Linked DNA regions of Canis lupus familiaris. The protein of the gene in region 1 purifies or fractionates together with the protein of each later gene. This does not show direct contact. Links are inferred from orthologs where the notes say so. Each region holds a gene or a part of one and is shown in the gene's direction. Other genes may lie near its edges.

Region 1 (3,891 bases):
GGCCGCCAGGTCTGACCTTCCTAGCTGCTCCTGCCACTCATCTGGACAGCCCCCCCCCCCCCCCCCCCCCCCCCCCCCGCAGAGGTTCAAAGACACGGGCTATCTGCTGTGCTTCTCATTTATGACTGGAGAAAGGACAGATCGGGGTCAAGGCGGTGCTGACCGCCCGGGGACAGTGCTCCTTGACTCTGTACCCTTGGCCTGCCCCTTTGGCCCGGGGAGCCCCGCGCTGGGTGTCGGCCGACCTGGGGGAGACAGAAGGGCCCACCCACTTCTCTGCGGGTATTTAAATGAGGGCCACGCCAGGCCCAAGAAAACAGGCCCTCCGGGAGCCAGGCGGCGAGCAGTTTGTTGCAAACGCAGCCACACGTGACCAGACTCAAGATGGGCTTCCAGGAGACGGGAGGCGGCGGGAACCCCAGCGCCGCAGCCCCCGGCAGGCAGCCGGGCGCCGCCTCCAGCACCCACCGGGGCCAGCCCCTCCCTGCCCGCGCCCGGCACCCCCTGCCCCGCCCAGCACCTGTTCCCAAACATGCCTGTTTTAATGAGTTCTTGTCTCTGACAGGTGAACCGAGTTTATGTGATTTTCGATCTGCCCACCACCGTGTCAATGATCAAACTGTGGAATTACGCAAAAACGCCCCATCGAGGGGTGAAAGAGTTTGGCGTGAGTACTTATCAGCTGGGTTTTTCGAGATAATTATGCTCGTTGGTAATTAGGCTGCCGGCAATTATCATTTGTCGCAGTTTGATTTACTTCTCTCTGTTGCCACCTTAGACACAAATGCCTGGTTCTCAGAGGCAGGGAAATTCGCCATCCCATCGTGAATTCAAAACCTACTCTGAGTGATTTGAATCATCACCCTGAAAACCAGAAAGTGGCTTTTCTTTTGCAATCATATTGGTCTAGGGAACCTGTCACTCGGGGAGGTGACCCTGGGGCAGGGCGAGCGGGGCCCCGGGAGGCCAATCGCAGGTACCTTCCCCAGTCGTGAAGGCCCGAAATCCCAACGCCGGCCAGGCTAGCCCACGACGCTCCCAGCAGTAACATGCTTTGCCCAGGGCCTTGGGGCAAAGGGGACCACAGGGGACCCTGGGCCGGCCCCACTGGGTGCAGCCCCTCCTCTGTGTCTGTCCAGCTCCTGGTGGATGACTTGCTTGTGTACAACGGAATCCTGGCCATGGTGGGCCACCTGGTGGGGGGCATCCTGCCCACATGTGAGCCCACGGTGCCCTACCACACCATCCTCTTTACCGAGGACACGGACATCTGCCGCCAGGAGCGACACACGGCCATCAGGTGCGCCCACGCCCAGCCCTCAGCCTCCCCGGCTGGCCCTAAGAAGGAGATGGCCTGGGCCGAACCCTCTGTCTTCTCCCTCCCCCCAGCAATCAGGTGGAGGATCAGGACGTCCAGATGATGAATGAAAACCAAATCATTACCAACTCGAAAAGGAAGCAGGGTGCAGTTGACCCAGGTGGGTTGGGATGCTCTGCGCAGAGGCCGCCCTCGGGACTCGAGGCTGCGCGGACCAGCAGCTGGCCGCGTCCCACAGCCTCTCGCCCCTGCCTGCCCCTTGCACCCCTCTTCTCTCCCCAGGAGGCTTCCGGGGCGAGGAGGGACTGTGGGGTCAGAACCCCAGGAGTAGCGAGGCCTGCTTCCTGCGGGCACCTGCACCCGGGCGGCCTGGCTTCCTGGGAGCAGGCCTTTGCGGTGCAGCCGTGCCCTCCGGACTCTGTGGGAAGCCAGGGGAGGGTGCCCCGGGTGAGGGCGTCCCAGAGGAGGTGGTGCTTGAGCTGCCGCCTGAGACATTCAGGGAGTTGGCCGGGCAGAGGCCTGGGGGCCGGCCTGGGGGGGCCTGCTGCGGGGGCTTCGGTCCGAGGTCCGAGCTCCGAGCTCGGAGGCTGCGGGGACTGCTGCGGGGCCTGGCGTGGGGCCGCCCTCGAGGACCGAGGTTGGGTGACGCCCTCCCCTCCGCATGCTCCCTTTGACAGCCTTACGCCCCAAAACGTGCATAAGCGAGAAGGAGACAGTACGACGATGGCGGTGCTGACCCGAGGAGGGAGAGCCGGCGCCCGCCCCGCCCTCAGCCTGGAGCAGCCTGGGCTCCAGGGGCTGGAAGAGGGGAGCCAGAGGGCACCCGTGTGGCATGGCCTTCCTCTGCGCTCCCTCCGCGTGCCCCCCGCCCGCCCCGGGGCGCAGCAGCCCGGCCCGCCCCCGCTGGGCCGCCTCGGGTGGGTGCCGTGGCCGGAGGCCTCCCGTCCCGCGCAGAGCCTGGGTGCCCGCCCCGTCGGCCTCAGACCCCACAGGAGGGGGCGCCCGGGGGTGCGGGGAGGCTGCAGCGGAGGTGCCAACAGCTCCCCTCCCCGCCACCCCTGCCTCAAGGGCGGGCTGCTGCGGCCGGCTGGGGATGGGGGGTCATTCAGTCCCTGCCCCCCCCAATGTCTAGCCCGGACTGCTCCACCCCCTTGGCTCATCCCAGGCGAGGACGGACCCCTCGGGGAGGTGTGTCTCACGTAGGAAAGGAAGGGAGCGGGGCCCACCGGCCAGGCCGCCCGGCGCACGGGGGGGGGGGTGGGGGGCAGCCTCCCCTCGGGCCCCCCTCCACGGCCCCCCTCCGCGTCCGCCCGGAACTTTGTCTGGAGGCGGGGCCCCTCCCGGTCCCTCCTCCCCGCCCGCCCCCCTTCCAGCAGCTTCCCCTCGAGTTGGAAACGTGCCTTGCACCCCCAGCCGAGTGAAGCTCCGAACGTATCTATTTCCATCGATGTAACAAGCTCGGATCAGGGACCTAATTGGTTTCCCAGCGGTGGGTAATTTCTCGTTGCAAATATTAATCCGCTGTTTCCCTGGCGCGCGGCCCGGCCGCCGCAGCCCTGGGCCCCGAGTACGTTCCTATGCAACCGCGCGCCCGAGCCGGCAAATACTTTATGGGCTTTGCAGCTTCGGCGGAGCAGCTATGCAAATGCGCTTTTCATTTGGAGCGCGGGGCCGATGGGGAGATAAGGAATTGTTTCTCCCGGAGAAGATCCATCATTCCTGTAGCTTCCAGGGCCGGGGCTTCTGTGCGCGCCTCCCAGATGTGCCGAGCGCCTGCGAGGAGGCCGCTGGGCCCCGGGGGGGGGGGGGGGGGGGAGGGGCTGCGGCTGCCCCCCCAGCCCCCCAGCCCCACAGCCCCCCACCCCCGGGGCCGAGGAGCCAGCTCCTAGGGGCCAAACCAGCGCCGCCGCTTCTCTCCCGGCCACCCAGCTCCGTCGCCGCCCAGACCCAGCCCGGCCCAGGTCCCACCCGGGGAGCTGGCCCCGAGGCCACGCACAACCTCCGCGGCTGTTTATCATAATTGTATGCGCCGGGCAGTTTAGGAGGGGGAGAAGAGGTGCAGGCGTTAACTGTAAAATAAATTTCTATTTTTTTTTTCTCGCAAAATCAATAAAAGATGTTATTAAGAATGCGGTCTGTCGTGCAGGATTTGGGGTCAGGCCGAGGGAGCCCAGGCTGCCTCCAAGAACAGACTCCGGTGGCTGGGGCAGGTGCCCTCTCTGACCTTCCCACACCACCTGCAGCTGGGGGCGTGAGCGGGAGCGAAGCCCATACCTACCTAGGGGTGAGTTTGTGCGTGGCTCTCCCTCATGGAATCCCCATGACGGCCCTACCCAGTAGCACTATCATGCTCCTTCTCCTGCAGGTGAGACAATGGAGGCACAGACAGGTGGAGGGACTTGGCCAAGACACACAGCAGTGGAAGCCATTAGTGCACAAAGCCCAGGGTAACCCCAGGAGAGCCGAGGTGGGGTGAAGTCCTGGGCCTCTGGTCCTGGGGTTTCCCTGAGGCCCACGTCCACCCTAGAAGCCAAGGCCCCAGATGCTGGATTTCTGGGCGGTCTCGGGTTTCC
Region 2 (3,810 bases), on another chromosome or scaffold:
AGCCAGGCAGCATGCCTGAGGCCCCTGCTCCAGAGCAGGGTTAGGAAAAATTGCCAGTCCTGTGTGCTCTCAGGAGGAGACCAGGGTAGGAGCTCAGTCACACCACCTGGCAGTATTGCAGGGGGTAAGTATAAACGCTGTAGCTTGATGGTTGCACAAGCCTCCTCTCTCCACATCCTCCATATTCCAAGCTTACAGGATGAGCCAACCATCCGTTCACAAATTCATTCAGTGAGTACATATGTACTGAGCATCTGATGTGTGCTAGGGAAATTACGGGGAACACAGCAGCCAAGTGGGACCACGGGCTGCAGTTTTATTACAGTCTATGCAGTGACTTTGTACAGCAGCCTGCAGCTTATAGTCTAGAGGTGGGAGCCAGACCCTAAACAAATAGGAACCAGTAGCTCAGGTGATACGAGATGTTAAGGGCGATAGAAGGCAGGAAGGAGACACAATGATAGATAGAGTGCTCAGGAAGGGCCTCTCTGAGCAAGTGACTCCTGTCTGGGCCACCAAGAAATGTGGAGGAACAAATGAGCAGGACAAACCAGGCAGATGAAGCAGCAAATGGAGAGGCCTAGGAGGCAGGAAAGGGCTTGGTTTGTGAGGGGAAGGGCAGTGGGGCCAGAGTAGCCAGAGTGTGGTAAGAGAGTGATAGATGTACTAGAGCCCTCTTTGGGAGTCTTCTAAGAAATTTGGAATTTATTTCATAGGCAGCAGGAAGCTGTTTCAAAGGCTTTAATTGGAGAGTGTGCTGGGTTCATGTCCCATCTGTGTGATGAGTGGATGAAGGCAGGCTGTAGCTCTCGTAGCCGGTAAGGGAGTGGTGGCTTAGGCTGGGGCTGGGGCCCCAGGACACATGAGGTGGGAGCAGCAGGCCCTGCTGGTATATTGACTCCTCGCCCTTGACGGGCCTCCTGGGATGACCAAGAAAAAGAGAGAGCAAGTGACAGAGCACAGCAGTGGTCCAGGTGTCAGGGGCAGAGATTCGAACTACAGCCACCACAAGTGAAAGGGAACAGGGAGGGAATTAGTTATTTCTTTTCGGCTCTAGGAGCAGAAGGAGGATAAAAGATGAATTCAGTCTTTCAGTTCTGAAAAATAGCTGCAGTGCCTGACATAAATAGGCAAGTGGGCAGTCACGTGGGTAGTTTGGCTCCAGGTCAAGGTGATTGATAAAGATCCAGGCAGCCTTGGGCGTGAGGGAGTCAGCAAGGGTCACCAGTGCAGACCCAAGTCACCAGCACTTAATGGCGCTCATGGTCCAGGTCAGGTGAGAGGATGGATCTGGGGGACAGGATGCAGAGAGGAGAGCAGGGGCCTGCAGAGCTGGCTGGTAGAAGGGGGATGGAGAGGACTTTGGGAAGGTGACAGACAGGCAGTGACCCATGAAGGGATACAGGTAGGAGTGTCCAGGAACACTGACGCCCAGGATACCACCAGAGGGGCCAAGACAGAAGACGTGAGGCAGACCTGTTGGGAGAAGGTCAAGAGACCTCTCTCGGGCTGCCCACCAGTGAGACAGCATACTCAACCCCAGGACGCAAGCTTTCCTCTGCTGTCTATCAGACAACATCACAGCCAGTTTTTGCTCTGTCGAGCTGTAGGAAGCTTGGATGAATAGGGTTCTGTGATGAGCTTACCACTAAAATCTGGTACAAGATGAAATATGTCTTTTGCATTTGAAACTCCTGTCTTCCCTATTAGGAATAAATATAAGAAACGGCATCCTTCCAAATCCAGGCAAGGATTTTATTCCATCTAACCCGTGGTCTAGTTCTGGTTTGTCTGGGAAATCTTCAGGAACAGTATCGGTAATCAGCAAAATAAATTCAGGTGGGTAATGATCATTAACCCCTAAATGACAAGAGGCAAATTCTCTGGATGCTGCAGGGTGGGTCCAGAGAGAAGAGACAAGAGGGTTTTCTAGGGGGGAAGCCCAGGGCCCCTTTATCAGGCCTATGCTCCTGTCTCTTTCTGGGCAGCAGGCCCTGGGTACTCAGCCAGCGACTCCAGGGTCTGCCCTCAGGAGTAGCCAGGGCATCGGGCACCTCTGACTTCCGAGACCCTGCCCTACTGGACCTCCAACCTAGCTCCATCCTAGTGGAGCATTGTAAAATGCCTTGCTCCATCCAGCTCACCCCCTCCTCTGATGACCCAGCTTTAGCCCCAGAGCATCCGAAAAACCCCCTCCAGTTTGTAGGTGGACAGCTCAGAAGGCACAATGATAGATAGAGTGCCAAAAAAAAAGCGCCTCACTTTTTTTCCCTCATCCTCACTTTTTTAAAAATGAGTAAATGAATTTCATAAGCCTTCCAGGTGGGCTAACCCCATTCCCAGTAGACCAGTTTTCCACATCACTCTCCCCAGACAGGTACCTGCCACCAGCTCAAGGAGTCAAACTTTGCAAATATACATGAAGTCCACTGTTTAGGCCTTCCTACCTTTTCTCTCTTCCCCTTTCCTTCCCCTGACCATCACCTGATTTGGGTGCTTATTATTTCTCTGCATTCTTAAAAGATTCATGAACCACTTAGTATATTTTTGCATGTTCAAAAATTAATATGAACATAATTCTGGATCTCCACTCATTTTAGTAATTATATTATACTGTAGCAATTAAACATATATGTAAGACACACATAATAAATATTGTATAACATAAGTATATACATATATAATATATATACTGTATCATAATCTATTAGTTTTACTGGACCATAATTTATTTATTCTTCCTTTCTCGATGAGCGTGTAATTTGTGAACAATCTTTGCCATGAGAAAGGGTGCTGAGACGAACCTATTGTTGTGCACCCATGTGAAGGTTTCTCTGGGTATAATGTTAACAGGTTAAAGGGTGTGCTCATCTTTGACTTTACAGATGTTGCCAAATTGCTCTCCAGCAGGGTCTGGGAGTTGTGCTGCATCCTTGATGCCACTTGGTACTGTCAAGATTGCAAAATGTGTGCCGGTCTGATAGGTGTGAGATGGCATCTTATTGTGGTTTAAACTTGCATGTTTACTAATGAGGTTGAGCATCTTTTCTTGTGTTTCTTGACTATATTTTTTCCCCTTTTGTGACTTACGTGTTCAGATTCTCTTCGCATTTTTTTTCATATCTATTCACCAAAAATACAAAATGTGCTCTAGCACAACACAACTCCTCACACATGCTTTGCCACCATGCCTTAAGCAGTTGCCAGGAGCACTGTGTTGTGAAGACATACAATAGCTCTGCCACACATTCCCTCTTTTCCCACCAGATGTATCTTCCATTTGTATAATGGCCCATAATAACATCTTTCATCATTCCGTGTGTACCTTAAGTCTTAATAAGGTTTAGAGATATCCATTCATCCATCCAGAATGTATTGATTACTGCTACATATAAGGCATCCCATTAACCTCCCAGAATACTAGGATGAGTAGCATACAGTTCCGGGCCTTTAAGCACTCTCAATATGAAAGTGTCATAAAAAGTGAATATATTTAGTAGAAGTTATTAATTGTTCTGATGAGAGGCAAGAGCATTTAGTGTAGGATTACTTGTAATAGCTAAATAATTAAGGTCACCTGTGTGCTGTTCAGTAAGAGAATGGTCCAGTGAACTATGGTTTAGCCATATTCTAGAATTTGTATATACTGATATGGAAGGATAACTGTTCTCTGTTATGAAGTGGAAAAAGTGAATTTCAGAACAGGCTAAACCTTTGATTCCGAAAAAGAAAGAAGACCGCAGATTTCCCTTTTCTGGAACCAGGCAACCCTCCAGACTCTGTTCAGGTCAGGCTGCGGGAGCGGCACTG

The links.
Region 2: the proteins of KATNIP (region 1) and CILK1 purify together in Homo sapiens (affinity purification with mass spectrometry; 3 studies listed by BioGRID and IntAct, with this or other methods). This does not show direct contact. The link is inferred for Canis lupus familiaris from reciprocal best matches to the Homo sapiens genes KATNIP and CILK1.

What each region holds. Positions count from the first base shown.
Region 1 is NC_049227.1:19,102,538-19,106,428, reverse strand, and holds the end of KATNIP (katanin-interacting protein), read left to right. Parts: intron 1-565; coding exon 566-667; intron 668-1,139; coding exon 1,140-1,300; intron 1,301-1,389; coding exon 1,390-1,478; intron 1,479-1,995; coding exon 1,996-2,054; 3' UTR 2,055-3,119; downstream 3,120-3,891. UniProt on the Homo sapiens protein: May influence the stability of microtubules (MT), possibly through interaction with the MT-severing katanin complex.
Region 2 is NC_049233.1:20,703,447-20,707,256, reverse strand, and holds part of CILK1 (serine/threonine-protein kinase ICK), read left to right. Parts: intron 1-1,710; coding exon 1,711-1,839; intron 1,840-2,885; coding exon 2,886-2,984; intron 2,985-3,810.